Linked DNA regions of Saccharomyces cerevisiae S288C. Each later gene encodes a partner of the first gene's protein in a complex. Each region holds a gene or a part of one and is shown in the gene's direction. Other genes may lie near its edges. The genes, in order: COX9 and COX2.

Evidence for each region.
Region 2: the proteins of COX9 (region 1) and COX2 are in contact, whole or in part, in a cryo-EM structure (PDB 7Z10), measured with the Saccharomyces cerevisiae proteins. Residues at the interface, in NP_010216.1 of Saccharomyces cerevisiae: Ile10 (codon at 14,444), Arg13 (codon at 14,453), Asp17 (codon at 14,465), Ile18 (codon at 14,468), Leu20 (codon at 14,474), Gly21 (codon at 14,477), Phe22 (codon at 14,480), Leu24 (codon at 14,486), Gly25 (codon at 14,489), Gly26 (codon at 14,492), Met28 (codon at 14,498), Ala29 (codon at 14,501), Ser30 (codon at 14,504), Trp32 (codon at 14,510), Trp33 (codon at 14,513), Phe36 (codon at 14,522), His37 (codon at 14,525), Lys40 (codon at 14,534), Arg44 (codon at 14,546), Phe47 (codon at 14,555), Tyr48 (codon at 14,558), Leu51 (codon at 14,567); in NP_009326.1 of Saccharomyces cerevisiae: Cys23 (codon at 6,811), Tyr24 (codon at 6,814), Ser28 (codon at 6,826), Ala29 (codon at 6,829), Thr30 (codon at 6,832), Glu34 (codon at 6,844), Leu37 (codon at 6,853), Glu38 (codon at 6,856), Asp41 (codon at 6,865), Asn42 (codon at 6,868), Met44 (codon at 6,874), Phe45 (codon at 6,877), Leu48 (codon at 6,886), Val49 (codon at 6,889), Gly52 (codon at 6,898), Leu53 (codon at 6,901), Trp56, Met57 (codon at 6,913), Thr60 (codon at 6,922), Tyr65 (codon at 6,937), Phe88 (codon at 7,006), Gln212 (codon at 7,378), Arg213 (codon at 7,381).

What each region holds. Positions count from the first base shown.
Region 1 is NC_001136.10:333,197-348,812, reverse strand, and holds COX9 (cytochrome c oxidase subunit VIIa), read left to right. Parts: upstream 1-14,416; coding exon 14,417-14,596; downstream 14,597-15,616. Other genes in the region: USO1 (Uso1p), read right to left, coding at 1-3,148; RAD59 (Rad59p), read left to right, coding at 3,860-4,576; small subunit rRNA maturation protein TSR1, read right to left, coding at 4,828-7,194; 40S ribosomal protein uS14 RPS29B, read left to right, coding at 8,015-8,185; SYO1 (Syo1p), read left to right, coding at 8,679-10,541; E2 SUMO-conjugating protein UBC9, read right to left, coding at 10,743-11,178, 11,289-11,326; PEX19 (Pex19p), read left to right, coding at 11,536-12,564; isocitrate dehydrogenase (NADP(+)) IDP1, read right to left, coding at 12,692-13,978; CBS1 (Cbs1p), read left to right, coding at 15,003-15,616. UniProt on the Saccharomyces cerevisiae protein: Component of the cytochrome c oxidase, the last enzyme in the mitochondrial electron transport chain which drives oxidative phosphorylation.
Region 2 is NC_001224.1:67,014-83,517, forward strand, and holds COX2 (cytochrome c oxidase subunit 2), read left to right. Parts: upstream 1-6,744; coding exon 6,745-7,500; downstream 7,501-16,504. Other genes in the region: Q0255 (maturase-like protein), read left to right, coding at 7,482-8,609, 8,650-8,859, 8,891-8,971; COX3 (cytochrome c oxidase subunit 3), read left to right, coding at 12,200-13,009. UniProt on the Saccharomyces cerevisiae protein: Component of the cytochrome c oxidase, the last enzyme in the mitochondrial electron transport chain which drives oxidative phosphorylation.

The sequences.
Region 1 (15,616 bases):
CTTTTGAAGAATCGGATTTTGAGATAATTTCCTCCTTCGTTTGTTCTAAGTCAGAGATGGTTTTTTTTAGTTGTTCGATATTTTTTTCTATACTGCCTCTTTCTATTTGAAAATTTTCTTTTTCCTGTGACATAGAATCAATTTTATTTTGCAAATTAGACAATTGTATGCTGCTTTCGTTTTTTGACTCTTCTACAGCTTTTATTAGAGACTCATTTTCAGCTTGCATATCCTTATAGTTATTTGCTAAGGATTTCAATTTTTCTGTTAGTTTCGCTACTAGATTGTCATGACTCTGAAAGCGGGATTTGTACTCAACAAGTTCCTTCGAAATATGTTCCTTTTCTTTTGATAAATTATTACATTGAATTTTCATTTCTTCCAGATTTTCATTGATAGCTTTTATTTCAGTAATTTTTGCCGCAATATCTTCTTTTAGTGATTTAGTCTCTTTCTGATGGTTGACATTGCTTTTATCTTTTTCCTTCTGTAAATTTTTACAATTCTCCTCAACTGCTTGCATCTCTCTACTCAGAGCGAATAAATCTTTACCCATTTTGTTTATACCATCTTCTGCCTTTTTCTTTTGAGACAAAATAGTTTCAAGTCCTTTTTCTAAAGTTTTGATAGAGTCTTCTTGTTTGTGGATTGTGCTTTTGTACTCCAGTAAAGCAGTTTGATTTTCTTTGTCCTTAGTTTCCAGTACATCTCTCAGTTGCGTCATTTCATCCAAGGAATCTCTGACGTTCTTCAATTCAGTTTCCAAAATGGAAAAGTTTTCTTTCAACGAAGAATGTGAGGAATTCAAAATTTGGTATTTCTCATCCAACTCTTTGTGTTCATTAGTCAACGCAATCAATTTTTCGGTGAGGTTCTCATGGGTGCTTTCCGTTTCTGTTTGCAAAGAAGTTATCTCACCCTTCAATTTTGTACATTGCCTCTGTAATTTTTCGACTTCTTCGAAAGATATTTTATTGATTGGCTCTTCGTCAGGGTCGTGAGACAATGCAGTTCTGATCCTGTATATGTTTTCATTAAATAACTGTATGAAGTAAGTGCTGAAATAAACTTTTGGTAAACCAGTTTCATCAAGCTCCGGAGTTAGTATACTGTCTTCATTCATATCAACTTTTGAGAAATATGAATCTTTTTTAAATTGTTTGATTCGAGAAGCATAATTGTCTTTTCCCAAAGTTTTAGTGATGAATTCGAAGTATTCCTTTCTTGGGAATGGAGATTCTTTCGAGGAAAACTCGTATGCCACACCTAGTAACATTGTTACAAGGCATTTGATAGTAACGTCTTCATCTTGAATTTGGTAAGAGAAGGAAAGCAAGGATTTAATCACGGATTTATCCGAAAGAAAATCGTTCGTGGCCTTAAAGTCGCCAAAGAGCCAATATATTAGGAACGTTAAGTAGGAAATAGGAATTCTTATGTCAGCAGCAGTAAGGGAAGTAGTTAGCAATTCACTTATTGTTTGAATTGCCTTTAAGGGTTCTTCGTCTTCGAGATCGTTACCGGTGGTAACATTTCTTGTTATTTCACGTAGTTCTTCGCTATATTTGTGATCCTGTTGGAAAAAAAACATAAAAATATCAGTTGTGAAGAATAATTTAAAAGGGTTCAGATTCAATTCTGCGTCATAATTTAACAGGACTTCGAATAGATTTGCCTTGAAAGAACCTTCATATTCAGTGCCATCCTTCCCGTCGGTATCTTTATCTGAATCACTTTCTTTATCAGATTTGTTAGAACCACCATTTTCTTTAGCATTGTCGCCGACATTATTTGTTGAATTATTACACAATTGGACTTGTTTTAGTAAAAAATCTCTTTGAAGATCAAAATTATCCATGAAATAAGCCTTTAATAGTCTAGAACACGCAACTCTTGTATCAAACGTGTGAACGGAGTTGGCATAGAGCATCCAATTTATCAAGATGCTGACTACAGGAATTAATTTAATTGGACCACCGTTTGCAGTAGAGTTTACAGGTAATGAAGGATCGAAATATGGAACATCGATCTTACTAAACTCTAGCTGTGCATGTTCATTACTTCTAACCATGTTTGCGGCAGTCAAAAGAGCAACCGGTCTAACTTTTTTTGGGATATTATGAAAGAATGCAAGTCGCAACACAACCATTAATACGCTTGAGTCAAGCAACGCATTTTGATGCTTAGTGGTGACAGTATTTCCTGGCTCTACTGTTAGGCTGACGATATCTAAAGCTGTATTGATATTAACTATCCTTTGATCATTCCAAAAAAAAACTTCATCTTGAGATATTGGTTCACTCAAAAGGTGTGCCAGTTTTGGCAAGTTTCCTGTCTCAAGGAATAAAGTTTGATTAGAAGTGTTATACTTCAGGATGTTATTGATCAACGATAAACAATCATTGACGACGAGAGAGCCTCTTAACCCACCTTCTTCTTCGATGATGGAAAAGAGCCTTTCAAAAATGTTTTCAAAAGCAACCAATTTTTGAACGTGAGGTGAATCGTTCACTACTGCCATTAATAATAAAATAGCTTCATCCCTGATGGGCTCATGCATGTCATCTAGGAGTGAGACCATTGTGGATATGCTCGTTGGAAGTGAAATCAAAGCACTTCTCGCCTTCAACGGCCTCGTGGCCATCACTGCCTCTAGTAATTGAATTGTGTACAATCTAATATGGAAATTATCGATTTCCCAAAATTCAACAAGTAGGTGAATTAAATCTTCAGACTGCGTCAAAGCATCAGCAATCCATAACGAGAACTGATCTACTTGTTCCTTTTCTTGCTTCATCACCAATGGTGAGGGATACTTGCCATTCTGCAACCGCGATTGTTGAGAAATCCAACCTCTAGTTAAGTCGTCATGGCCATCGCCTCTGATGAAAAGAATCAAAATTGTTTCTAATATAGCCTTTACCGAATCTTCATCCATATAATCACGTTTCAAAGTATTGAGCAACGGTTTTAGCCCGGATGCAATCACTGATTCTCTATACTGCCGGCTAAATGCCTTTAATCCCAGCACAGCGGATCTCCTATCGCTAATCAAAGTGGAGTTCTCAACTCGATCGCACAACGTCGGAATGGTTTCATCCACAGATTGAATTTTTGGTTGCTGTATCAGTCCTTGAATGATGTCCATTCTTGATAGGAGGGTTGTTATAGATATTAATCACTCGAAGTCGTGAACAAGAATTGTCTTCTCTCCAGTATTCAGTCTCTGTGATGTCTAAACCCTGTTAATGTGCAAGGTCTATTTTTTTCGTAAGAACCACGCGCTTTAGGCTTTATTTCTGGTAATAATAGCAAGAAATAAGAACAGACAGTTGCAAATCTAAACGACTGTCCAAACGAAAGTATCAAGTTCGCTAAATTTACTTCGAAGACAGAAGCCAGTAAATTTTGTTTTCTTCATGGAAATAGTTTCCAAAAAGTTCTTAGTAATTACCATATGTTCTTGTATGTGGCGCTGCGAAAGAAAGGTTAGCCGACCGGCATCACCCATAATTGTATAATATAGCAATGAAGCAACTTGTTGAAGTTTTCTTTAAAGTACTATAGTATTGAATAATATCATGTTCACTTGATAAAATTGGGTATTTTATTGACCATTATATCGCGTTGGACACTAATGTCTTTCAAGTTGGTGTCACGTCACGTGCTTTTCAATGTACTGGGGCAAATTGATTAGAGGAAGCCACAGTTTGGCAAGGGCAGATATGATAGGAAGCAGTAACGGCAAGGAAGGATAAGAACATCATTGAGGGAGTCTGTGGCAGTTTAGCACATGCTTTGGACCATTAAAGGGTTACGTAGAGGAGAAGAGCATATTTCAGGATAAACAGACAAAATAATGACGATACAAGCGAAGCCCAGTTCGAGCATATCGTATGATTCGACTACATACGGCACAGCACCGGGCTTGGATATAAAAGAGTTCCAAATCATCGAAGATTGGAATGGAAGACCTGCCAGCGCTTGGTCGGTGCAGAGGATTGGGCTTCTACAGTCCAAGATCGAAAGGTACACGTACAATATTTACCACAATAATAAATATGGGAAGCACAACTTATCTAAGCTGATACCAGGGCATGCTCTCATTCAGTTCGCTAATGAAACATTCGGGTATGATGGTTGGCGAATGGATGTTATAGATGTTGAGGCCCGGGAGTGCCAGCCCTTCACCGCAGTAAATAATGGAGAAAACACCAACACTAGTGAGGTCAAGTATACAGTTGTGGCAGAAGCCCAAGTAAAGGTTACCTTAAAGGATGGCACCAACACACAGTGTGGTGGGCTAGGTAGAATTACTTTGTCCTCGAGAGGTGAATGTTATAACAGGTCGAAAAAAGAGGCTGTAGGCGATGCGTTAAAGAAGGCGTTATTGAGCTTTGAAAAAATCATACTCGATTATGAGACTAAGATTACAAATAATTACTATGTCGATGGCTTGTATGGCTCAAAAAAAATTAAAAATGAAGCTAACACCAATTACAACTTATTGTCAGCGACTAATAGCAAGCCGACTTTTATCAAATTGGAGGATGCTAAAGGCACGCATATCAAATAAAAAAAAAAAGAAAGAAAAAGGGCACAAGTAGCAAATTTATTTTGCTTGATAAAAAGTCATAATTTTCACATAATGCATTAATACCTCTACAAAATAAGTGGCATTTGTATTTGATGCGAACGGAACAGGTATCGACTTACCTTTATCAACAGTATCGTTGATACTATTTTATTAGCATTATATTATACAAATAGATCTCACGTACTTATATATATATATATATATATATATACGTGTATATTTTTATCACTTTACATACCATTCCAAGGTAACGAAGGCATGGGCCACATACGTTTGTACAAGGACATAGCAACAACATCCTGCGCAGATAATTTACCATCAAATGTAGCCTTGAAATAACCATGCGTACCCAAACTTTCTTTAATGAAACCTGACCTACCTGATTTGGTGAACAGTGGGATAGACTTGAACCATTCCACATCTTCTGGTCTGAAAAACATGTAACGTACAGTAACCACAGTTTTGTGGAATCTGAATGGATGACCGGTCAAAATGGCTCTCTTTGCTAATATTCTTGAATGGTCTGCATTCAGGAATGTACCGTGACCAATCAATTCAATATTTTTGGCATCTGTTGGTGATGGCTTGAAAAAAATTGCAGGTGACTGGGTGAAATCTACGGGAGCAATACATGTGGCAACTGATACTGTATCTGGATGCAGAAACCTTTCATACTTGTGAACATTATTAGGACTGTTAGAGCCTTGAGAAAATAGAGGTTGAATAGTGTATCTTCTAACACCGTATTGTACTACGATAGGCTCCTGAGAAGGCACAGGTTTGTCATATTGTTCCCATCTTTGTAGAGAGAAGTTGACTACCGCATTTTTGTGTTCATGAAGTAGTAATCCGTAGACAGCAAATAATAGTTGTTTAGGATCTTGAATCTTTTCAAGCAGAAACTTAGGAAACCTGATGAACATCCTAATACGATCACCTGCAATGGCCTGTGCTTCATTCTTGGTTTCCTTTATGATTCTGTTTTTAGTGTTTTTGTAATTGCCAATCCTTAATAGACGTTTCCATTCCGCTGGTGATGATGGGTCCTTTTCATCAACTTGCCAATCACAGTTGTATAAGTTTTTCAAACCTCTATACCTTTTCAAACGTTCGATGGCAGATTCACTGGGCTCTAGTTCGATCTCATCGGGGAACTCTCTGTCCTCCTTTTCCATATCTCTAAATTCCCTCAGTTGACGTTCTTCTTCTTCGGGTGAAAGCTCTTCAAATCCTTCATTATCCTCTATGTCATATTCTTCGTCGCCTGCTACCTCTTCATTGTCTTGCTCCACCATCATTTCATCATCAATTTCCATCATTGTCTCATCCTTTCCATTGGTCTGTTCTGCCTCTTCTTCCTCATTTGCGTCAATGACGTCATCCAAGTACCACTTCGCTTGATAGTCAGAAGTTCCCTTAGGAACTGCCGCCTTTTTTGATGTTTGTTCCCTCCCTGGCAAGAAGCCATGGTCGTCGTATCTCGCGGTTGTCAAACCGTCGTACTCAAAATCCTCGTCATAATCTGACCAATCTTCCGTGCCTTCTGGGGCATATTCGTCCAAAGTATCTCTATTCATATTACTTTCGAAAACTGTTTGTAAATCCAGCTCTAAGCTCAGACTATCTGTAGCTTTTTCCTTTATTATTTTCCTTTTCTGCGAAGATTCACTGATTTTTTCTATCTTATTCAGTTGGAAGTCACCAAAATCAGGAATATGGACCAGTCTATTGGCGTTGAAGCCAATACCACGGACGGTCCCCTCAATTACCAGGTCACCAGAATCGGGAGAGGTTTCAACGAAATCAACAAAGTCAGCGACTACGTAACCTCTATTGTCTCTCCAATTGATTGATCTTGGTAGCCTCTGGCACAATGTTCTCAAGACGTTTAAAGCGTCTGAGTTTTTTTCCAAATTATAAACACGTTCTTCACTTGGGAAAAAGTGCTTGAAATAACTTTCTAAGGATTGCTTGACATCCAATTGGAATTTCTCCTTTTCATGGACTGCTGAGAGGTTGCTTATGACACCGATATATGAAGCAATACCTTGTAGTTCTAACGCACGGATGATCTGCTCACCAAATTCTTCATCGACTTCTTGGACACCACTGAGCCCAAACACAACAAAGTCTGCTACTTTAGCGCAATCTAAAATGTTCAAAAAATTGGTCATGTCTGGAATTATGATTTTAAGATTGCTTTTAAACTTCTTTATATGAACATTAAATATACGTTTTGAGTCTACTTCCTGCACCATGATTCCTTCATCATCTGCACACTTTAATAGCTTGTAAAGAATGTCCAATGGGTCTAAATCATTCACTAACGGAACAATAGTAATGATTTTGGCAGCGCCATTTTTTCCTTCGAATAATTTCCTGTTTTCAATGGAATCCAAGATCCTTTGGGCCCTTAATTGTTTTGCCTTGTTTTTACGTTGCAATTTTGAAACTTGTTTGTCTGGTTTGCCAGTGCCCACGGGTTCTTTTTCCACTTTCCCCTTGTATAATCTTTTCAAAGCACCTTTAGAAGCATGTTTGGATTTGTAAGATTTGTGTCCGTTTTTTAATGATGACCTGTGTGAATGACCTGCCATTCTGATGCCTGCGTAAAACTACCGCTCTTCAACTAACAAATAAATTTCTGCGATTAATATCACAACTCATATCAACTTCTAACTCACACATTTTTTTACTGGTGATGAGATGAGCAGAACTGAAAATTTTTCTTAGCTGTAATTGAATATCGAGTCTACTTTTCCATCCGTACATTTTAACACCCAGTCCTAAGTAGGCCTATTTATTTCACTTGGGGGGAACATCTGGGTACTCTTTATAAAGATCTTCTCGCGTTGTACGAACAGCGCGGTGGAAAATGTTACATTTTGCCTGGGAAAGCGTCAAGTCTTAAAGGTATAACCGTCAGTACAAGAAGTGGTTATTAGGTATTGGGATTAGTAGTTTGAGAAATTCTTTGAAAGAAACTATAGCTAAATGTATGTGGAAACGCGGATTGAAGAGACAAGGGACGTGTATGCAGAATGAAGGAACAGCAGGAAAGTATCTGCGCTGATTTGGATTTGTAACTAAAATTTACAACTAAAAGAATTGAAAATTCGAGGAAAATATCTGTGGCTAGCAGTAGGGGGGAGCCTTTCTGGTGGCCCCATGGTGGAATAAGACGATGTGTTTATTGAATGTAGCAACAAGCATCAAACATCAACAAAGCTTCAAATTATGTCAAATACAATGAGCCATAGCATAAGCTTATATTTATTTCCTTTTAACTTCGATAGTCGAAAAATTCTATTGTACACGTCCATGGAACTCCTGGAAAACATAAAAACTGCAAAAATTATAATACTAACATTTTTCTATTCAATTTTGAAAACTTATTGGTTATAGAATATATACAAAATGGCTCACGAAAACGTTTGGTTCTCCCACCCAAGAAGATTCGGTAAAGGTTCCCGTCAATGTCGTGTCTGCTCCTCCCACACTGGTTTGGTCAGAAAGTACGACTTAAACATCTGTCGTCAATGTTTCAGAGAAAAGGCTAACGACATTGGTTTCCACAAGTACAGATAAGTCAAGAGCGATTGTAACATCGTAATCATTAACCTTTTTTGAGTTACTTTGATTACTTCTTTCCTTTTCTTTCCACTTCTTTTGTATAAGTTATCATAATTATTTTTGGTATTACTATATTATGTTTATCATTAAATATTGGCGATATAATAAAAAATTCTAGTCACAAGTACTGTTGGCTTAATAAGTTTGCCAACTAATGTTTAGTGATGATGATGAAATAGTACTGCCCTGTTTATTGCCATTTTTCTATGCAAAATGTACAATAATCATTTAGAACGAGTAGTTCTCTTATTCAGAAAATTTTTCATCTCATCTCATCTCATCTCATCTCATCTCATCCATTTATCTACCATTGTTTAAAGGTCTATGTATTGTAAAATTAAATCTTCGTAGCAACGCCCCCATTATTCTTACTGGATTCCAAGTACTTTCGATCAGATTTTCGAGTTTGTACAAGGACGCAGAAATCGACTTTTTAGGGCAGAAAAGAATGGGCAGATCAAAGAAAAGATCAAGAGCATCTTCGTCTCGATTAAATCCACTACGCAAAGCTGGGTCAAATGACAATAATAAAGATACCAACGTCGTTAATAAAAAACTCCAGCCGCTATTGCAGAATTTGTCAAGTGTGGTGCCTAATGATAGAAGTATTGCTTTGAGTTCCATCAGTGTTCTTTGTGAGGATGCACATATGAGACAACTTTTACTGAAAGAGAAATTAGTTCCTATCATTTTGAATAAATTGCTGAACGATTCTAATTCGGACATAGTTGTGGAGTCGTTCGGCTTATTAAGGAACTTGTCTTTGGAAGAAGGTTATGATGTGTCAATCTACCTTTGGAGATCTGATATATGGACAAGTATAACAAGTAATTTTGGCAGGATTGTTGAATCGTTATCCGCTTTGCAAGCAGCAGAACAGCAACCGCAGCTAAAACCTGCAGGAAAATCCAAAATAGAATCTAAAAGGTTGTTATTCGATTTTGCCGATAACTTACTGTCGTTAGTGGTGGCTCTGTCTAATGGATCCGACGATATTCTTAATGAGATATTAACGGAAAGTAAAATAAATGAAATTTTTCAGGTCATTTCACAGCTATTAAAATATGGTGTCGAGAAACTGCCAATTAATCTGTTCAATACCACTCTTGATCTCATTTATGATTTGAGTTCCGAATCATTTGAATTTATTGATCATGTTTCCAACAATGAACTTCTATCACAGTTCTTAAATGGGCTATCTCCGGCTTTACATCCACAAGCTAATGAATTAACAAAAGTTCTAATTGAAGGTATCCATTGCCAATTCCTTGACATGAAAATAACTTATGATCAATGTAACAAAATGATCCACTCTGTATGTCATTCCATTAATAACATTGATCCAGTACAGTTAGTTAATGACATTAATAACCCTGTAGAAATTGGACCTGCTACTAGTAAAGATGAAAGCAGTAAGGTTATAACTAAGATCAAGGATTACAATGCGAAACGTAACGAATCCATGATAAAATTGCAAAGCATTGAAATAGCAATTGATCTTATCACCGCAATCATTGAGATAGTTGCATCCAAATATGAATCACCAGAATCACAGGAAGTAGCAATTCCAGAGGAGCTAATCAATACCTTAACAAATTTCTTACCTCACGTTTTCATGATTTTGAAAGATACCTTCACCTCGCGAATATTGATCGGATGGAACAATCTGATCTGGCTCTTTGTGTCTCTATCTCTAACAGAGCTCTCTGGAGAGTTGTTAACCACCTTATGGAGTTATGTTACACAGTTGGACAGCCAAGATGATTTGAGTATTAAAATAGGAAGAATGGGCTGTATTTGGGCGCTTCTGAAACTCATCTTTCCTGATGGAGCGTTTGAAAGTGAGAATCGAGCATTGATCAATGTCCAAATGCTGAACAATTCAGGATTCGCTAGGGGAATTATTGAAGAGTTCCAAAATAATAATGACCTTGAGTTACAACAAAAATGTATTAATGTACTAAGCACATATGCTATGATTCAGGGACAAATTGATGCAAATAAGGAGATTGGGCAGTTCTTCATACAAACTTTAACACAGTTGAATGTTCGCCCTGAAATTTTGATAGAAATGACAAATTCGCTTTTCCAAATTTACGGGGATGCCTCTTACGACTATAATGAACCAATATTTGTAAGGGGTGGATTTTTATCTATTCTAAAAGACCAAGTTGTACCAAATTTGAGGCAGCAATTCAAAATGGTTGATAAAAACAAAAATCCCGAACTAAAAGAAAGATGCCATGATTGCTTTACTACGTTGGATAGTTTCATTCACTACAAAATGAATGAAAATTCTACTAACCAATAGATTTATTAAAGTGTATATAGTTGCCATACTTATAGAAAATGGTACAAAAAATATCTTTCTATTTACTTAGCATAAGAAACAAAGAGCAAAAAATTATTTTTGAGAATTTGTAAATAATGTTATTTTGCTCTATTTTTGTTACACAACGACATTAGTTAAATAAAGTACAAAAGGAGGAAGAATGGGAAAGATGGATTCCCTCTATTTAGAGTACTGTTTAGCTTGAAGCAAAACTTTCTTGTCATATTCCGCCTTATTTCTTGAAAATGATCTCCATGCAGGCTCTTGAGCAGGGGAATTTGGATTTGGAGAGTCTAAAAGATCCTGAACCCCAAGAACAATTTGTTTTAACGTGATGGCGGGTCTCCAATCTTGATCTTCATTTAAAATACTTAAACATATTGTGCCACTTGGATACACGTTTGGATGATAAAATCCGGCTGGAAATTTAACCTTTGGAGGTTTTGAAGGATATTCATTTGGATATTCGACTGTAATTGGGTACACACCACCCGCCCAGTTTGTACCTTCTTTGCCTGGGATACCAGCTTCCCATTTCTGTAAATCCATGGACCCATCAGCTTTCTTAACTGGTTTGGCATAAAATCCAAATGGATGATCCTTTCTCCATTTTTTTCTGTTATTCAAGTAAAACAAGTTAAGTTCATCGATTTGTTAGTATACCGCTGGATGAAATTGTGTATGCCTACAGAATGTAAGCATAAAAGGAGGAAAACTACTACTTACCTTTCTTCCTGAAGACGCTGTAGACACAAACTACTCATATTGCTTCCAAAAAATGGTGCCAGTGTGTGCTTATCCTATGCTAAATTTCTCTTCTTTTTTTAAATGTTTGTTATGGAGACAGGAATAATTTTTAATTTCCAGATGTTAAACGCGGTTTCTGAGAGATATAAAGTGAAGAAAGAATTACAAATTGTGGGAACCGAAGTATTGACGGAAAGAAGAAATGCCAAACATACAACACGAAGTAATGAATGAAAACGAGTACGATAATTTTGATGATTTGGATGACCTTTTAGATGAAGATCCCACTAAACTGGATGAAGCAGAGCCCGATGATGTGCAAGCGAAGGGTTCTGTGTACAACGATAGTGAAAACAAAGAGAAGAATGCCGAAAGTAAGGACAGTGATGGCGTACAGGTAGCTAATGAATCTGAAGAGGACCCAGAATTGAAAGAAATGATGGTAGATTTGCAAAATGAGTTCGCAAATTTGATGAAAAATAACGGTAACGAGAATAATGTGAAGACAGAAGATTTTAATAAACTGATTAGTGCTCTAGAAGAGGCAGCTAAAGTACCTCATCAACAGATGGAGCAAGGATGTAGTAGTTTGAAAAGTAACAGCACTGATAAAGGGACCGTGAATGGTAGCAATCCGGGATTTAAAAACATTGTTTCCAATACGCTAGACAGGTTAAAGGAAAATGGTAATAAAGTTGATACATCCCTAGCCGAAGAAACCAAGGAATCTCAACGCAGTGGCCAAAATAATAATATTGATGATATATTGTCACAATTATTAGATCAAATGGTAGCATCTGGTGGAAAAGAAAGTGCAGAAAATCAATTTGATCTAAAAGATGGGGAGATGGACGACGCAATAACAAAAATACTTGATCAAATGACGTCAAAAGAAGTATTATATGAGCCTATGAAAGAAATGCGTAGTGAGTTCGGTGTTTGGTTTCAAGAAAACGGTGAAAATGAAGAGCATAAGGAAAAGATAGGCACCTACAAGAGGCAATTTAATATCGTAGACGAAATTGTAAATATTTATGAATTGAAAGATTATGACGAGCTAAAGCATAAAGATCGTGTTACTGAACTTTTGGACGAATTAGAACAGCTTGGTGATAGCCCTATTAGAAGTGCGAACAGCCCCCTAAAACACGGTAATGAAGAAGAAGAACTCATGAAAATGTTGGAAATTGATGGTAATGATCCGAACTTGGGGAACCTTGATAAGGAATTAACCGACGGTTGCAAACAACAATAAGGTATATATATTTATGATAACAGTAAAAAAAAAAAAAAAAAAGTAGTTCATTATCCTAGAGCATAACTAAGTATAACACTTTAAAAAATGAAAAAAAAAAGTGGTAGATTGGGCTACGTAAATTCGATTACTCGATCGACTTGATTTCTTTTTGTAGTCTTTTTTCAACGGCATCCAAAAATTCTTCTGTGGTAACATAAGCAGATCTTTCGTTGTTACCGCAAGCCAAAGCCAAGTCCTTCGTCATGATACCGTCTTGCTGAACTGTGTTCAAAGTGGCGGATTCCAAAATATTGGCAAATTTACACAAAGCAGGAGTATTGTCCAATTCACCTCTCTTCAATAGACCTCTCGACCACGCGAAAATGGATGCAATGGAGTTTGTAGAAGTTTCTTCACCCTTTTGGTACTTTCTATAATGTCTTGTCACGGTACCATGAGCAGCTTCACTTTCGAAAGTTTTACCGTCTGGTGTAACTAAGATAGAAGTCATCAAACCTAAGGAGCCAAATCCTTGAGCGACGATGTCAGATTGGACATCACCGTCATAGTTCTTTAGCGCCATGATAAAGCCACCTTTAGATTTTATCATTTGAGCGACCATATCATCAATTAAACGGTGTTCATAGTGGATCCCTAGTTGTTCGAATTTGGATTTATATTGAGCTTCATAAACTTCTTGGAAAATGTCTTTGAACCGACCGTCATATTTCTTCAAAATAGTGTTCTTGGTTGACAAGAAAAGATTTAGCTTTTTGTCAATGGCCAGCTTGAAAGACGAATGAGCAAACCCTTCGATGGATTCGTCAGTATTGTACATGGCCATGGCCACACCACTGCCCTTGTAGTCATACACTTTCAAAGTTTGTGGTTGAGCAGTCGTAGGGTCGGATGGCTTGTAGACCAGTTCCAAAGATCCTGGGCCTGGGATCAGTGTGTCCGTAGCTTTATATTGATCACCGTGGGCGTGTCTTCCAATAATGATTGGTTTTTCCCAACGTGGGACCAGTCTAGGAATTCTAGGAATCACAATGGGCTCTCTGAACACTGTACCGCCGAGAATGTTTCTGATGGTACCATTAGGAGATTTCCACATCTTGTGCAGGTTGAATTCCTTCACACGAGCTTCATCAGGAGTGATGGTGGCACATTTGATACCAACACCATACTTCTTGATCGCCTCAGCAGCATCCTGAGTAATCTTGTCGGAGGTGGCGTCACGAGATTCGACAGATAAGTCGTAGTACTTCAAATCTACGTCCAAGTAGGGTAGAATCAATTTCTTCTTGATCTTATCCCAAATGATACGGGTCATTTCATCACCGTCCAACTCGACAACGGGTTGTTTGACCTTAATCTTACTGAAAGCAGCAAGGCGAGAGGTGGAAAATAATCTTCTAGATAACATACTCATGCTGGGCGATCTTCCTTGTGCGTCTGTTGTCTCACAATTGCTTGAAGGAAGATTTCATAAGATCATATGAGTCCCTCTTTATATGGGCAAGTGGAATTATGTGAGTCAAAATCCGCGCGTGACCCGTAAAGCGTTATCAGAAGGTGCAAACGGTGCTATTTAGCTCATAAAAGGAATGATTCAAGCTCTTTTGGATTGTAAGACACCTTTATTTAGTCCAAGATCATTGCAGACCCTTGTTATGGTCTTTAGCAGAGTCCTCCTCTATATCTCTTCATTTACTGCAACCTGATTGGCCCGCTACCACGATGCCCGCTTTGTTCCTGTGGTATTAAAAGAATCGATGAAAGAGACTCTTATCTTCAGGGAAAATTAGGACCGAGAATTAGAGCAAGCAAGATATTTGCAAACTACTAACTACAAGCGACTTACACAGACATGACTATTGCTCCAATTACTGGTACGATCAAGAGAAGAGTCATCATGGACATCGTCCTCGGGTTCTCCCTCGGGGGTGTCATGGCCTCTTACTGGTGGTGGGGATTCCACATGGATAAGATTAACAAGAGAGAGAAGTTCTACGCAGAGCTAGCTGAGAGGAAAAAGCAAGAGAACTGACCGAACCTGACCACTATTGTTTTTCGCATTATATTCTTATTCCTATTTATTTATCTTTTATTTTTTTTCTGTGCTGGCCTCGATTGATTACTTTTGCAAGAGTTTGTAGGGAAGGAAAACAGACAAGTCATTCTTTTCTTTCTTTTTGACCTTTATCATAATTTTCTATTTGTATAATTTGAAAAAATAGTTTTACATATTTATGTAGTGTCAAACTAAAATAAAAACAAACTTAAAAAAAGAGTTATAGAAAATGTATGTGGAGAATAAGACAGGCAGACCTTGAGTGAACTAGGAATAGTACAATATTACCTTTAGGAGGTGCCACGTACTACCCCTTTGCTTCTATTCTTCTATGGTTTCTTTATAGCAGGATAAAAGAATAAATCAGATAATGAATCTCGACATGTTGAGGACAAAAGTGTTTGCAACTACTGTTGCTCGAATATCTGGGATTCGCAGGTATATTCCCATCAGAACTATAAACACGGTGACGAAAAAGAATATTAGTAAGATAGAAAAACTGTGTGAAGTCCTTGAAGTTAATCCTGACGGATATAAAGGAAAGGAACGCATACCGACTAAAGAACTAACTAAACTGCTATATACCACAAGCAGGAATATGTTGGTACGAGTACCAATGACTGGAGACTTGAGCACAGGAAATACATTTGAAACAAGAAACGAAACTTTACAAAAATTGGGTGAACAGCTCATTCACTTGGAAATTAATAAGATGCTTACAATAACATTTACGAATTTCAATCAGTTTAATATAATGAACAAAAACTTCAATTACATTCATAACTTAGATCGAGCTCGAGTAGTGAACATGGACTCGATAAGCTGGCTTATCAAGAATTCGTTGAAAATTAACCAATTAGCTCATTTGCGAATACCTGCCAATTTGCCGAAGGAAATGGGATTAACTTCCAGCTCTAATGATTTTCAGAACTTGAACGATTGGAAAGTGATCTTATCCTTTATTGGTTACCTGAAATTACTCGAAATTAAAAACGA
Region 2 (16,504 bases), on another chromosome or scaffold:
CGTGGGGCGGACCCCAAAGGAGTAATATATATTATGTATAAACAATAGAGAATATTGTTTAATGGTAAAACAGTTGTCTTTTAAGCAACCCATGCTTGGTTCAACTCCAGCTATTCTCATAATATTATATATATATATTTCCCTTTCTAAAAATAATAATAATTATATATAATAATAATATAATTATATATATATATATTATAATAATAATAATAATAATAATAATAAATAATAATAATTATTTTTATTAATAATATTAATATATTATAATTATTAATAAATATTAATAAAAATAGCTCTCTTAGCTTAATGGTTAAAGCATAATACTTCTAATATTAATATTCCATGTTCAAATCATGGAGAGAGTAATTATATTATATTAATAATCCCCCCCCCATTTTTAATTAAATTAAGAAGTTTAATTTACTATTTAATAATAAATGAAATAATAATAATAGATATAAGTTAATTGGTAAACTGGATGTCTTCCAAACATTGAATGCGAGTTCGATTCTCGCTATCTATAATTAATATTAATATAAATTAATATCCTATAATTAATTAAATACAAAATTATATTAAAACTTATATTATATTATATTATAATATTATATTATTATTATATAAAAATATAATAATAATAATATTTAATTTTATTTAATAATAATATTTTATATAATAAAATAATCATATTTATAATATTTAATATTAATAATAATTTATTATAATAATTCTTTAATATACTTATTTATTATTATTTTAATAAATAAATATAATTCTTATAAATATATTATAACAAAATATATTATATTTTAATTAAATACAATATTATAAATATATATATATATATAAATATTTATATAAAAAAAAAATAAAAATATTTTAATAATTATTCTTTATAAATAAATAATGATAATAATAATTTATAATAATCTCCTTGTGGGGTTCCGGCTCCCGTGGCCGGGCCCCGGAACTATAATATATTTTAATATATTTTTTATTACTCCTCCTTTGGGGTCCGCCCCGCGGGGGCGGGGCGGACTATAATAATTTTTTATTGATAAAAAAGTATATATAATATAATTAATATATTTCTTTTTATATAAATTATAAATATTATTTTATAATAAAAAAAGTATATATAATATTATATATTTAATAAATAATATAATAATAATATAAATAAATATATATATATTATTAATATATTAAATTTTATAATAATAATTATAATAATAGTAGTAGGTATAAATTTTAATAAAGAGTTTTATTCCAATGGAGTAATAATAATAATAATAATAAAATAAAGGATCTGTAGCTTAATAGTAAAGTACCATTTTGTCATAATGGAGGATGTCAGTGCAAATCTGATTAGATTCGTATATTTATACTTAATATAAAAAAAATAAATAATAATCTTTTTTATTATTATATTTATTAATAATAAATTATTTTGTTATTATTATTAATTTATATTAATATTTTATATAAATTATTTATTTAATCTTTCATTATATATTTAATATATTATTAATATTAATTAATATTTTATAATAAATAAATAAAATAAAATAAATATTTTAATATAATACTCCTTCGGGGTTCGGTCCCCCTCCCATTAGTATAGTATAGGGAGGGGTCCCTCACTCCTTCGGGGTCCCCGCCGGGGCGGGGACTTATTTTTATATTTATTAATAATAATTAATTTTTATATAAATTTATTATTTCTTACAATATATTTATTACTATTATTTTTTAATAATCTTATATATAATATATAAAATATATATATATTATATATATATATAAATATAATATATATTATTATAAATATTTATAATCTTATTAATTAATTAGATTATATTATATTATATTAGATCATATTATATTATATTATATTATATTATATTATTATTATTAATATTTTTATTTTTATTTTATATTTAATAGTAAAAAATCATAATTTTATAATTTATTAATTATTATATAATTTCATTAATATATTTCTTCTTTTTATTTATTTATTTATTACTTATTAATAGTTCCGGGGCCCGGCCACGGGAGCCGGAACCCCGAAAGGAAAATAATATAAAAAATAATTATAATTTATTATAATTTATTAATTTATTAATTTATTAATTTATTTATTAATTTATTAATTTATTTATTATTATATTTTTTTTAATAAAGGAAAATTAACTATAGGTAAAGTGGATTATTTGCTAAGTAATTGAATTGTAAATTCTTATGAGTTCGAATCTCATATTTTCCGTATATATCTTTAATTTAATGGTAAAATATTAGAATACGAATCTAATTATATAGGTTCAAATCCTATAAGATATTATATTATATTATATAATATTATATATTAATAAATATTATTAATTAATTTATTTATTTATTTATTATTAAATAAAAATATTTAATAGTTCCGGGGCCCGGCCACGGGAGCCGGAACCCCGAAAGGAGAATAATATAAAATATTATAATTATTTATATATTAATTATTAATTATTTATTATTTATTATATAAAAAGTATATAATTTTATATTTTAATATAGGGTTAATTAATTAATTATTAATTTTTTATAATAAGATAATAATATATTAAAAACTTATTATAAATTTATAAAATAATATTTATTTACTTTGATATTATTTTTAATCTTTCATTAATATATATTTTATTATAAGTAATAATATAGTTTAATTTAATTAATATAAATAAATTACATAAGAATAATATTATAATAATATTATATATTATATAAAGAAATAATAATTTATATTTTTATTTTTTTTATAAATAATATAAATATAAATATAATGGGGTTATAGTTAAATTTGGTAGAACGACTGCGTTGCATGCATTTAATATGAGTTCAAGTCTCATTAACTCCAATAATTATATTATATAATATATATATTAATAAATTATATATATATATATATATATAAATATTAAATAAATATTATATTAATAAATAATATAAATTATCTAATCGAAGGAGATATTTATAATATAATATAAATATTTTAATAAATTAATAAATATTATATTAATAAATAATTAATAAATATATAAATTATAATAAATTTTAATATTATTATATAAATTAATTAAATATAATAATTAATGAAATAGAAACTATAATTCAATTGGTTAGAATAGTATTTTGATAAGGTACAAATATAGGTTCAATCCCTGTTAGTTTCATATTATATATCATTAATATATAAAATATAAATATATATATTATAATAATAATAATAATAAATATAAATATAATTATATATATATATATATATAAATAAATAATTATTTAATTTATAATAAATATATATAGTTCCCGCGAAGCGGGAACCCCATAAGGAGTTTTATTATTAATTATATTTAATAAATATTAATTATTAATTTTATATTTATAAATAAATTTATTACTCCTTCTTAATTAAGAATAAAAAGGGATGCGGTTCCCATGGGGTCCCGCACTCCTTCGGGGTCCGCCCCCTCCCCTGCGGGAGGGGAGCGGACTATTTTATTAAAAATATTATAATTAAATAATAATATAAATAATTTATAATATAATAATATATACTTATAAATAATATTTAAATCTTATTATTAATTTATAAATCATAAATTATTATTAATAAATATCTCTTTTAGATAAGATAAATTGAACTTATATTTATATTATATATATATAGATATAAATCTTAAATAGAGTAAATATATTATAATAATTATATAAATATATATATATTATATTAAGATAATAATATATATATATATTAATATATAAGGAGGGATTTTCAATGTTGGTAGTTGGAGTTGAGCTGTAAACTCAATGACTTAGGTCTTCATAGGTTCAATTCCTATTCCCTTCATAATTTATTATTAATTATATATTATTATAAATCAAATCCATTGAAATTAATATAATCCAATGAATAATTAATTTAATACATAATTTAATATATAAAATTATATATATATATACTTTATAAAAAAAAAAATTATATAATAATTATATTAATATATTTATATATATAAATAAATAAATAAATAATAATAATTATAATTATAATTATAATTAATTAATTAATAAATAAATAATAATTTATATTATCTTTATAATATATATATATACTTTTATAAAAAAAATATATAAATAATTCTAAAATGTATATTTCTCCTTTCGGGGTTCCGGCTCCCGTGGCCGGGCCCCGGAACTATTAATAAAATTAATAATAAAATAATTATTATCTGTATTTAATAAATTTAATTATAGAGTTATATTTCTATATATTTATATATTTATTTATTTATTCTCCTTCCGGAACTAATAAAATATATAAAATAAGGGTTTTTATTTATTTAATTAATATATATTTATTCTTTTATATAATATGTCCTTATAGCTTATCGGTTAAAGCATCTCACTGTTAATGAGAATAGATGGGTTCAATTCCTATTAAGGACGATAATAATATATATATATTTTAATTTATATATCATATATATATATATATTAAAGAAAATAATATAAAAAGTATGTATTAATAATAATAATAAATAAATAATAATAAATAATTTTATTATATTATATTATATTATATTTATTGATATATTTATTGATATTTATTAATTTAAGATTATTCATTAAATATATAATTATTAATAATTTAATATATTTTATAATTTTTATTATATTTTATGTAAGAAGAAACTATTTTATATATTATATATATATATATAATTTTTATAAAATGATAAATTTTATATTATAAATATTATTAAAATATTTTTATAAATATTTAAATTATTTATAAAAAGGTATATAATAATAATTATTAATATTATATTATATTATATATTTATTTATATTATATATAATAATATATTTATATATATATTAATTAATAAATTAAATAAGTATCTATATTTTATATTATATTATATTATTTTATTTTATTAATTCCGGAAGGAGAATAAAAAGTATTCTAAAGAAATTATATATTTATTATTTTTATTAATATGTTATAAATTAATAAAAAATAAATATGTATATATAAATTATATTTATTATGTTTAATTATTTATAATTTATTATAATATATAGTATAAGATATCTTATTTATATTTATATATAATAAAGAATATTATTAAACTAACACCTATATTATATATATTATATTATATAATATTATATATATATTAATTACTAAGAATAAATTTATAATTAGATAATATTTATATTTATTTATTTATTTAATTAACAAATATATTAATATTTTTAATTAATTAATAATACCTTTATATATATATATATATATATATTAATTTTAATTATATAATTATCTTTTTTATTAATAATTATAAATATATTATATATTTTATATAATAAGATTATAATTTTATAATTATTTTATTTTTTATTAAAAATTATTATTATTATAATTATTATATTATAATTATAAATTATTAAAGAATATATTTATTAATATTTTAATAATTAATATCTTTTATTTATATTTATAAAATAAGGTATAAATATTGATAATAAAGAGTAAATATTGTATTAATTATAATAATAATTATAATTAAGGAGCTTGTATAGTTTAATTGGTTAAAACATTTGTCTCATAAATAAATAATGTAAGGTTCAATTCCTTCTACAAGTAATAATGATTATAATATTTATATATATTAAAATAATATTAATAAATAATTACTCCTCCTAGCAGGATTCACATCTCCTTCGGCCGGACTCCTTCGGGGTCCGCCCCGCGGGGGCGGGCCGGACTATTTTATTATTATTAAATAGATGTTCATTAAATAATTATAAATATAATTTATCTTTTAAATATATATATATAATATAATATTTAAATATATATTATAAATAAATAAATAAATAATTAATTAATAAAAACATATAATGTATATTTATCTATAAAAAATATTAATTAAATTAATATATTATTACAGTTCCGGGGGCCGGCCACGGGAGCCGGAACCCCGAAGGAGATAAATAAATAAATAAATATAAATAATTCTTCTTCTTTAAAATTAAATAAAATAAAATAAAAAGGGGGGCGGACTCCTTCGGGGTCCCGCCCCCCTCCGCGGGGCGGACTATTTTATTTTTAAATATATATTATATTAATAATATAAATATAAGTCCCCGCCCCGGCGGGGACCCCGAAGGAGTATAAATAAAAATTAATAATATATTATATATATATTATATTAATAATAATAATAATAATAATAATAATAAATAATAACTCCTTGCTTCATACCTTTATAAATAAGGTAATCACTAATATATTATAATAATAAAAATTATATATATTATATATAATCTAAATATTATATATTTTAATAAATATTAATATATATGATATGAATATTATTAGTTTTTGGGAAGCGGGAATCCCGTAAGGAGTGAGGGACCCCTCCCTAACGGGAGGAGGACCGAAGGAGTTTTAGTATTTTTTTTTTTTTAATAAAATATATATTTATATGATTAATAATATTATATATATTATTTATAAAAATAATATATAATTTTAATTATTTTTAATAAAAAAAGGTGGGGTTGATAATATAATATAATATTTTTTATTTTAATTTATAATATATAATAATAAATTATAAATAAATTTTAATTAAAAGTAGTATTAACATATTATAAATAGACAAAAGAGTCTAAAGGTTAAGATTTATTAAAATGTTAGATTTATTAAGATTACAATTAACAACATTCATTATGAATGATGTACCAACACCTTATGCATGTTATTTTCAGGATTCAGCAACACCAAATCAAGAAGGTATTTTAGAATTACATGATAATATTATGTTTTATTTATTAGTTATTTTAGGTTTAGTATCTTGAATGTTATATACAATTGTTATAACATATTCAAAAAATCCTATTGCATATAAATATATTAAACATGGACAAACTATTGAAGTTATTTGAACAATTTTTCCAGCTGTAATTTTATTAATTATTGCTTTTCCTTCATTTATTTTATTATATTTATGTGATGAAGTTATTTCACCAGCTATAACTATTAAAGCTATTGGATATCAATGATATTGAAAATATGAATATTCAGATTTTATTAATGATAGTGGTGAAACTGTTGAATTTGAATCATATGTTATTCCTGATGAATTATTAGAAGAAGGTCAATTAAGATTATTAGATACTGATACTTCTATAGTTGTACCTGTAGATACACATATTAGATTCGTTGTAACAGCTGCTGATGTTATTCATGATTTTGCTATTCCAAGTTTAGGTATTAAAGTTGATGCTACTCCTGGTAGATTAAATCAAGTTTCTGCTTTAATTCAAAGAGAAGGTGTCTTCTATGGAGCATGTTCTGAGTTGTGTGGGACAGGTCATGCAAATATGCCAATTAAGATCGAAGCAGTATCATTACCTAAATTTTTGGAATGATTAAATGAACAATAATTAATATTTACTTATTATTAATATTTTTAATTATTAAAAATAATAATAATAATAATAATTATAATAATATTCTTAAATATAATAAAGATATAGATTTATATTCTATTCAATCACCTTATATTAAAAATATAAATATTATTAAAAGAGGTTATCATACTTCTTTAAATAATAAATTAATTATTGTTCAAAAAGATAATAAAAATAATAATAAGAATAATTTAGAAATAGATAATTTTTATAAATGATTAGTAGGATTTACAGATGGAGATGGTAGTTTTTATATTAAATTAAATGATAAAAAATATTTAAGATTTTTTTATGGTTTTAGAATACATATTGATGATAAAGCATGTTTAGAAAAGATTAGAAATATATTAAATATACCTTCTAATTTTGAAGAACTACTTAAAACAATTATATTAGTAAATTCACAAAAGAAATGGTTATATTCTAATATTGTAACTATTTTTGATAAGTATCCTTGTTTAACAATTAAATATTATAGTTATTATAAATGAAAAATAGCTATAATTAATAATTTAAATGGTATATCTTATAATAATAAAGATTTATTAAATATTAAAAATACAATTAATAATTATGAAGTTATACCTAATTTAAAAATTCCATATGATAAAATAAATGATTATTGAATTTTAGGTTTTATTGAAGCTGAAGGTTCATTTGATCTATCTCCAAAACGTAATATTTGTGGTTTTAATGTTTCACAACATAAACGTAGTATTAATACATTAAAAGCTATTAAATCTTATGTATTAAATAATTGAAAACCAATTGATAATACACCATTATTAATTAAAAATAAATTATTAAAAGATTGAGATTCATCTATTAAATTAACTAAACCTGATAAAAATGGAGTTATTAAATTAGAATTTAATAGAATAGATTTTTTATATTATGTTATTTTACCTAAATTATATTCATTAAAATGATATAGTCGTAAAGAAATTGATTTCCAATTATGAAAAACACTTATAGAAATCTATATAAAAGGTTTACATAATACACTTAAAGGTTCTAATTTATTAAAATTAATTAATAATAATATTAATAAAAAAAGATATTATTCTAATTATAATATTTCTCCTTTCGGGGTTCCGGCTCCCGTGGCCGGGCCCCGGAACTAAAAATATTATTGATGATGTATTAAATATAAATCTTATCTATAATTATAAATTACCATATCGTATAAATAGTGATATTCAACGTTTAAATTCTATAAATAATAATAATACTAAATTTATTAATGTTGGAGTATTTGTTTATGATTTAAATAATACATTAATTATAACATTTACTGGTTATAGACCAGCAGCTCTTTACTTTAATTGTTCTCCTTTTCGGGGTCCCGACTGGGGCCGGGACTAAACATGAAATTGCTAAATATATTAAAAATGGTAATGTATTTATAAATAAATATATTTTAAAAAATATTTTATTAGATTAATTATTATTTTTACTTCTTCTTAAAATTAAAAAAGGAGACTTTTTTATATTTATATAAATTATATATAAATTATTCTTTTATTATAAATATATAAAATTATTTTCTTTTAATTATTTTTATAATTAATTAATTCTTCATGGCTATAGCCATAACTTTTAATAATATTCTTTTATTCTTTATTATTATATATATATATATTTATTATTTATTATTATAGAATTTATATTTATAAAAATATTAATATTTTATTTAAAATAAATAATGATTAATTTATAAAATATATATTAATTAAGTTTCGGGTCCCGGCTACGGGACCCGGAACCCCCGAGAGGAGTTATTATATTTATAATTAAATCTTTAAATAATATATCTTAAATTATTATATTGATATTAATATTATATTGATATTAATATTAAATATATATTTAATATTTAGCTTATTATTTTATAAAATTATATTTATATATTATAATATAATTAAATATATTATAAATTTAATAATTTAATAAAAATATTCTTTTTATAATTATTATAATAATTAAATAAATAATAATAATAAGAATAATTAATGTATAATTTTTTTATAAATATTATATATTTTTATATTAATAGTTCCGGGGCCCGGCCACGGGAGCCGGAACCCCGAAAGGAGAAATATTAATAAAATAAAATAAAATTATAATATAATTAAATTATAAGAATTATATTTACTCCTTTTATAATTTATATTTATAATATAATATAATATAAAATAAATATAATATAATATAAAATAAATATAATGTAATAGGTATTCACTCCTCTTTGGGGTTCCGATCCCCCATACGGATACGGATACGGATACGAATACGGATACGGATACGGATACGGGGGGCCGTCCCCCAGAACTTAATATTATATCTTAAATAATTAATATAAATATAATATATTATTTAATAATAATAATAAATAAATAAATAAATAAATAAATAAATTAAATAAATAATAATATTATTATAATTACTTTTTAATAAATAATATTAATATAATATTATATTAGTATTATAAATAGACTTTTTATTATTTTATATATAATATAGTCCGGCCCGCCCCCGCGGGGCGGACCCCGAAGGAGTAATATATTATATAATTATTATTTTTAATTATAAATAAAATATAATTATTATTTATTATATAATTTATATAAATATATATATATATTTATTATATATATAAATATAAATATAAATATAATAATTAATAATATTAAAGTTTTATATATATTAATATATTATAAAAGGTTTATATATATATATAATAAGATAAGTAATAAATTAATTAATTAATAATATAAAAATATATATTATATATTATGTTTTATTTATATATATATATATATTATGTATTATTATATAAATATATATATATATTATATTATAAGTAATAATAAGTATTATATTATATATAGCTTTTATAGCTTAGTGGTAAAGCGATAAATTGAAGATTTATTTACATGTAGTTCGATTCTCATTAAGGGCAATAATAATAATATATTAATTAATAATTAATTTATAATAAATATATTATAATAATTAATATATATATATATAATATATTTAATACAAAGAAAATATATATTATATCTCTTATTTATTTATTTATTAATATTTTAATAAATATAATATTATAAAAAAAAGTTTATATATTTAGTTCCGGGGCCCGGCCACGGGAGCCGGAACCCCGGTAGGAGAAATATAAATATAAATATAAATATAATATAAGTTTGGTATTCATTTAATTATATTATTTAATTAAAAATATTCTAAATAAGAATAAATATCAATAAAGGAGTTATAAATATATATATATATTAATATATATATAAAAATATATATTATTATTAGTTCCCGCTTTGCGGGAACCCCGTAAGGAGTGAGGGACCCCATGGGAACCGAACCCCTATTTAAGAAGGAGTTTTATTATAATAAAATTTATATATATTTAATATATAATTATAAAAATATTATATAATAAATAATAAATAATTATTAATAATAAATAAATATAATAATAATATTATAATAAATTTATAAATGATTATAATAAATTTATATTAATTTTTTATTTTGTAAATACTAAGATTTGAACTTAGATAATATGCACCTAAAAACATACATTTTACCATTAAATTATATTTACCTTATTAATTATATAAAATTTATTAAATATATAATATATTAATTATATAAAAATTATTAAATAAATATATAATATATTATATATAATTTATAATATATATATTATAAATATTATTATATATAAAATATAATATACTACTTATAAAAATATATATATATATATAAATATATATATAAATAAATATTTTATATATTAAATTAAATAATTATTAATAAATTTAATTATAAAGTATAATTTTCAATAGGAATATTTATAAGATTATAATAATTATATGAATTATTATAATTATATATATATAAATAAATAAAATAATAATTATAATAATTAATAAGAGTTTTGGATATATATCTGTGGAGTATATATTTTATAAAGGAGATTAGCTTAATTGGTATAGCATTCGTTTTACACACGAAAGATTATAGGTTCGAACCCTATATTTCCTAAATCTAGATATAATATTATATCTATCTTAATATAATAATATTTATTTATTAAATAAAAAAAAAATAAATAATATTAATTAATATAAGATTCTTTTTTAATTATAATAATAAATAAATAAAAAGAAGATATTATCAATGATTTATATTAATAATAAATATAAATAATAAAAAATATATATAATATAATATAATAAATATATTTCCTTTAATATTAATAAATTAATAATAATAATAATAATAATAATAAAATATTTAAATAAATTATATTCAATACAAATTAATTATTTATATTATTAATAATTGAATAAATAATCCGGTCGAAAGAGATATTAATTCGATTATATTATTTATTTAATTATATTTAATTTAAATATATAAATTAATATATATATATTGAATTATATATAAATTTATTTTATAATTTTATAAATAATATATTATTATAAATATTTAATATAATTTATATTATTATTAAATAAAAGATTTATTAAATTAATATTATTATTTAATTTTATTATATAGTTTAAGGGATAATATTTTATTAATATTTTTTTTATTTATTTATTTAATTATATTATATATATAATATATATATAACAATAAATTTATGACACATTTAGAAAGAAGTAGACATCAACAACATCCATTTCATATGGTTATGCCTTCACCATGACCTATTGTAGTATCATTTGCATTATTATCATTAGCATTATCACTAGCATTAACAATGCATGGTTATATTGGTAATATGAATATGGTATATTTAGCATTATTTGTATTATTAACAAGTTCTATTTTATGATTTAGAGATATTGTAGCTGAAGCTACATATTTAGGTGATCATACTATAGCAGTAAGAAAAGGTATTAATTTAGGTTTCTTAATGTTTGTATTATCTGAAGTATTAATCTTTGCTGGTTTATTCTGAGCTTATTTCCATTCAGCTATGAGTCCTGATGTACTATTAGGTGCATGTTGACCACCCGTAGGTATTGAAGCTGTACAACCTACCGAATTACCTTTATTAAATACTATTATCTTATTATCTTCTGGTGCTACTGTAACTTATAGTCATCATGCCTTAATCGCAGGTAATAGAAATAAAGCCTTATCAGGTTTATTAATTACATTCTGATTAATTGTTATTTTTGTTACTTGTCAATATATTGAATATACTAATGCTGCATTCACTATCTCTGATGGTGTTTATGGTTCAGTATTCTATGCTGGTACAGGATTACATTTCTTACATATGGTAATGTTAGCAGCTATGTTAGGTGTTAATTATTGAAGAATGAGAAATTATCATTTAACAGCTGGACATCATGTTGGATATGAAACAACTATTATTTATCTACATGTTTTAGATGTTATCTGATTATTTTTATACGTAGTCTTCTACTGATGAGGAGTCTAAGGCTATAGAATTATATATCTAAATGATTAATATATATATTATTAATAATTAACAATAATTAATATATTATAATTTATATATATATATTTTATATTATTATAATAATATTCTTACAAATATAATTATTATATATTATTCCTTCAAAACTCCTAACGGGGTTCCCGCGAAGCGGGAACTAATAATAATATAATCATTATACTCTTTTTTCATTTACCTTTTATAAAGATAATTAATAAATTTATTTAATATTTATAAAAAAAAAAATATAATATTAATATAATATAATATAATAATGTAATTATTTATATTTTTATATTCCTTCGAGGTCACCGCCTCACCTCCAGCGGGACTTTTTTAATATGATATAATATAATATAAATATTATTAATTTAACTAATATATAAATTCATATATATATATATATTATTAATATTATTTTATAAAAAATATTTTTTATTTGATTATTATTAAATATTATATAGTTCCGGGGCCCGGCCACGGGAGCCGGAACCCCGAAAGGAGAAATATTAATATATTATAAATATACTATTTATGTAATTATTTTTTGAAGTGAGCACCTATTTTATATATATTTTATATATATTTTATTATATTTTATTAAAAATAGGTGTGAACCTCCATGAGAGAGGAATGAATACCTATTTTATAAAGTATATTTTATATTCTATATATTATAAATATGAACCAAAAAAAGGAGTTTAAAATTTAATTAAATTTAATTAATTGAATTTCTTTATTATTATTATCATAATTATTAAACCCTTTATTAATATAATAATATATTATTTATTATCAAAATACCTACCCTTTTTATAATTTATATCTTTAATAATATAATTAAATATAAAATGTTTATTAAATATTATATAAAAATAAAAATAAAAATATATATATATATATAAATGATAAATAATAAGGAATTCACACTTATATAAATTTAAATATAAAGTCCCAAAAGAAGTATTCATTAAATAAATTATCATTAATTAATTATAATAAACTTATTTAATATTATTAAAGATTAATTTATAATAATAATTATTATTATTATTATTAATATTAATAAAATATATAAATAATTAAATAGTTCATATATTAAAAAGAATTAGAATTAAACTTTAATAAGTGTATTTAATATATAGAATATTAATAGAATATTTATTCTATTTATATATATATTTATATATATATATATTAAATAATATTATTTATATTATATTTTATATATATATTATTAATATAAAAAGTATATTATATGTATTATATATATTATATATTATATATTTAATAATATATTACTCCTTTGGGGTGGGTCCGCCCCACGGGGCGGGCCGGACTATTATAATTAATAATTTTATAAAGTTCCGGGGCCCGGCCACGGGAGCCGGAACCCCGAAAGGAGAATAAATAATTATATATCTTCTTCTTAATTAAATTAAATTAAATTAAATTAAATTAAATTAAATTAAATTAAAAAGGGGTTCGGTCCCCCTCCCTAACGGGAGGGGGTCCCTCACTCATTCAAACTATAATTTAATATATTATGATATTATTTATAATTTATAATATAATGTATAATATTATATTATAAATATTATATAAAAATAAAATGATATATATAATAATAATAATAATAATAATAAAAAAATAGAAAAGAATAATTTTTATTATTTTAGTATATATAAGAATTTAATAAGTTATATTATTGCGGACACCGTTACGCGGAGTGGGGACTATTATATTTTACCTATATATATTAATATTATTATAATTTCCTTCTTTAAAAGAAAAAAGGAATTCGAGAACTTATTATTATATTAATATATTAATAATAAATAATAATAAATAATAAAAAAGTAAATAATTATAAATTATATAAAAATATAATTTTATTATTAAGAAAGGAGTTTAAATATAAAATATAATATTATCATTAAGTTCTAATAAAGGTATATAATGAAGATCTATTAGAACCTAAAAAGAATATTAATATATCTATTATAAAATAATAATAATAAATATAAATATAAAAATAAATTGTAATATTTATAAATAATAATAAAAAATAAATAAGGAATATATTAATTATTAATAATAAATAAATTATATTAAAATATAATATTATTATTAAATTAAAGAATTATATTAAATATATTTATTAAAATTTTATAAATAAGTTAATATTTTATTAAATAATATTTATAAATAATAAAAAAAAATAAGTATATAATTATTAATATATTAATTTATTATGTTATATATTTATATATTTCAAATATATAAGTAATAGGGGGAGGGGGTGGGTGATAATAACCAGAATATTAAATAAATACAGAGCACACATTTGTTAATATTTAATAATATAATCAATAAATATATTATAATAATATAATATAATTAATAATAGATATAAAGTATAAACAATATAATAAATTATATAAAATAAATATAAATTAAAAATAATAACCAAATAATTAATATAATAAATGATAAACAAGAAGATATCCGGGTCCCAATAATAATTATTATTGAAAATAATAATTGGGACCCCCACAATAGAATAAAAAATAAAAAGAATTAATAATATATAAATAATATAAAATATATTATATATATATATAATATATATATATATATAATAAAAAAAAATATATAATATAATATATATATATAAAATAATAAATTATATATATATATATAAAATAATAAAAAATAATAATCATATGAATTTTATAAATATAATTATTATTAATAATAATAATAATAATAATAAAGTCCGGTCCGCCCCGCGGAGGGGGCGGACCCCCGAAGGAGTGCGGGACCCCGTGGGAACCGCATCCCTTTTTATTCTTAATTAAGAAGGAGATAATAATTTATAAAAATTAATATTTATTTTATGTAATATTAATATTAATATTAATATAATATAATATAATATAATACGGATTAAATATTACCAGTTGTTCACAGGTAATATAAAATCCTATTGTTTCACCTATTATTAATTAATAGTTCCGGGGCCCGGCCACGGGAGCCGGAACCCCGAAAGGAGAATAAGTATATATAATAAAATTTAATAAAAAAAAATAATTATATAATAAATATATATATTATAATATTATATAAATATAAAATATAATTGATATTAACATTATATAATTAATAATATAATCAAATAATATAAATATAATATAAAAAGTTTTAATTATTAAAATTATATAAATATTATTTAATAAAAATAAAAATAATAATAATAATAATAATAATAAAGTCCGGTCCGCCCCCTCCGCGGAGGGGGCGGACCCCGAAAGAGTGAGGGACCCCCCCGTATACTTACGGGGGGAGAACCGAACCCCTTTTTTTATTTAAAGAAGGAGATAAATATTTATATCTTTATTTATAATTATATATAAATAAAAGTTTATTAAAATTTATAATAATAATATAAAAAAGTATATAATAAATTTATTATAA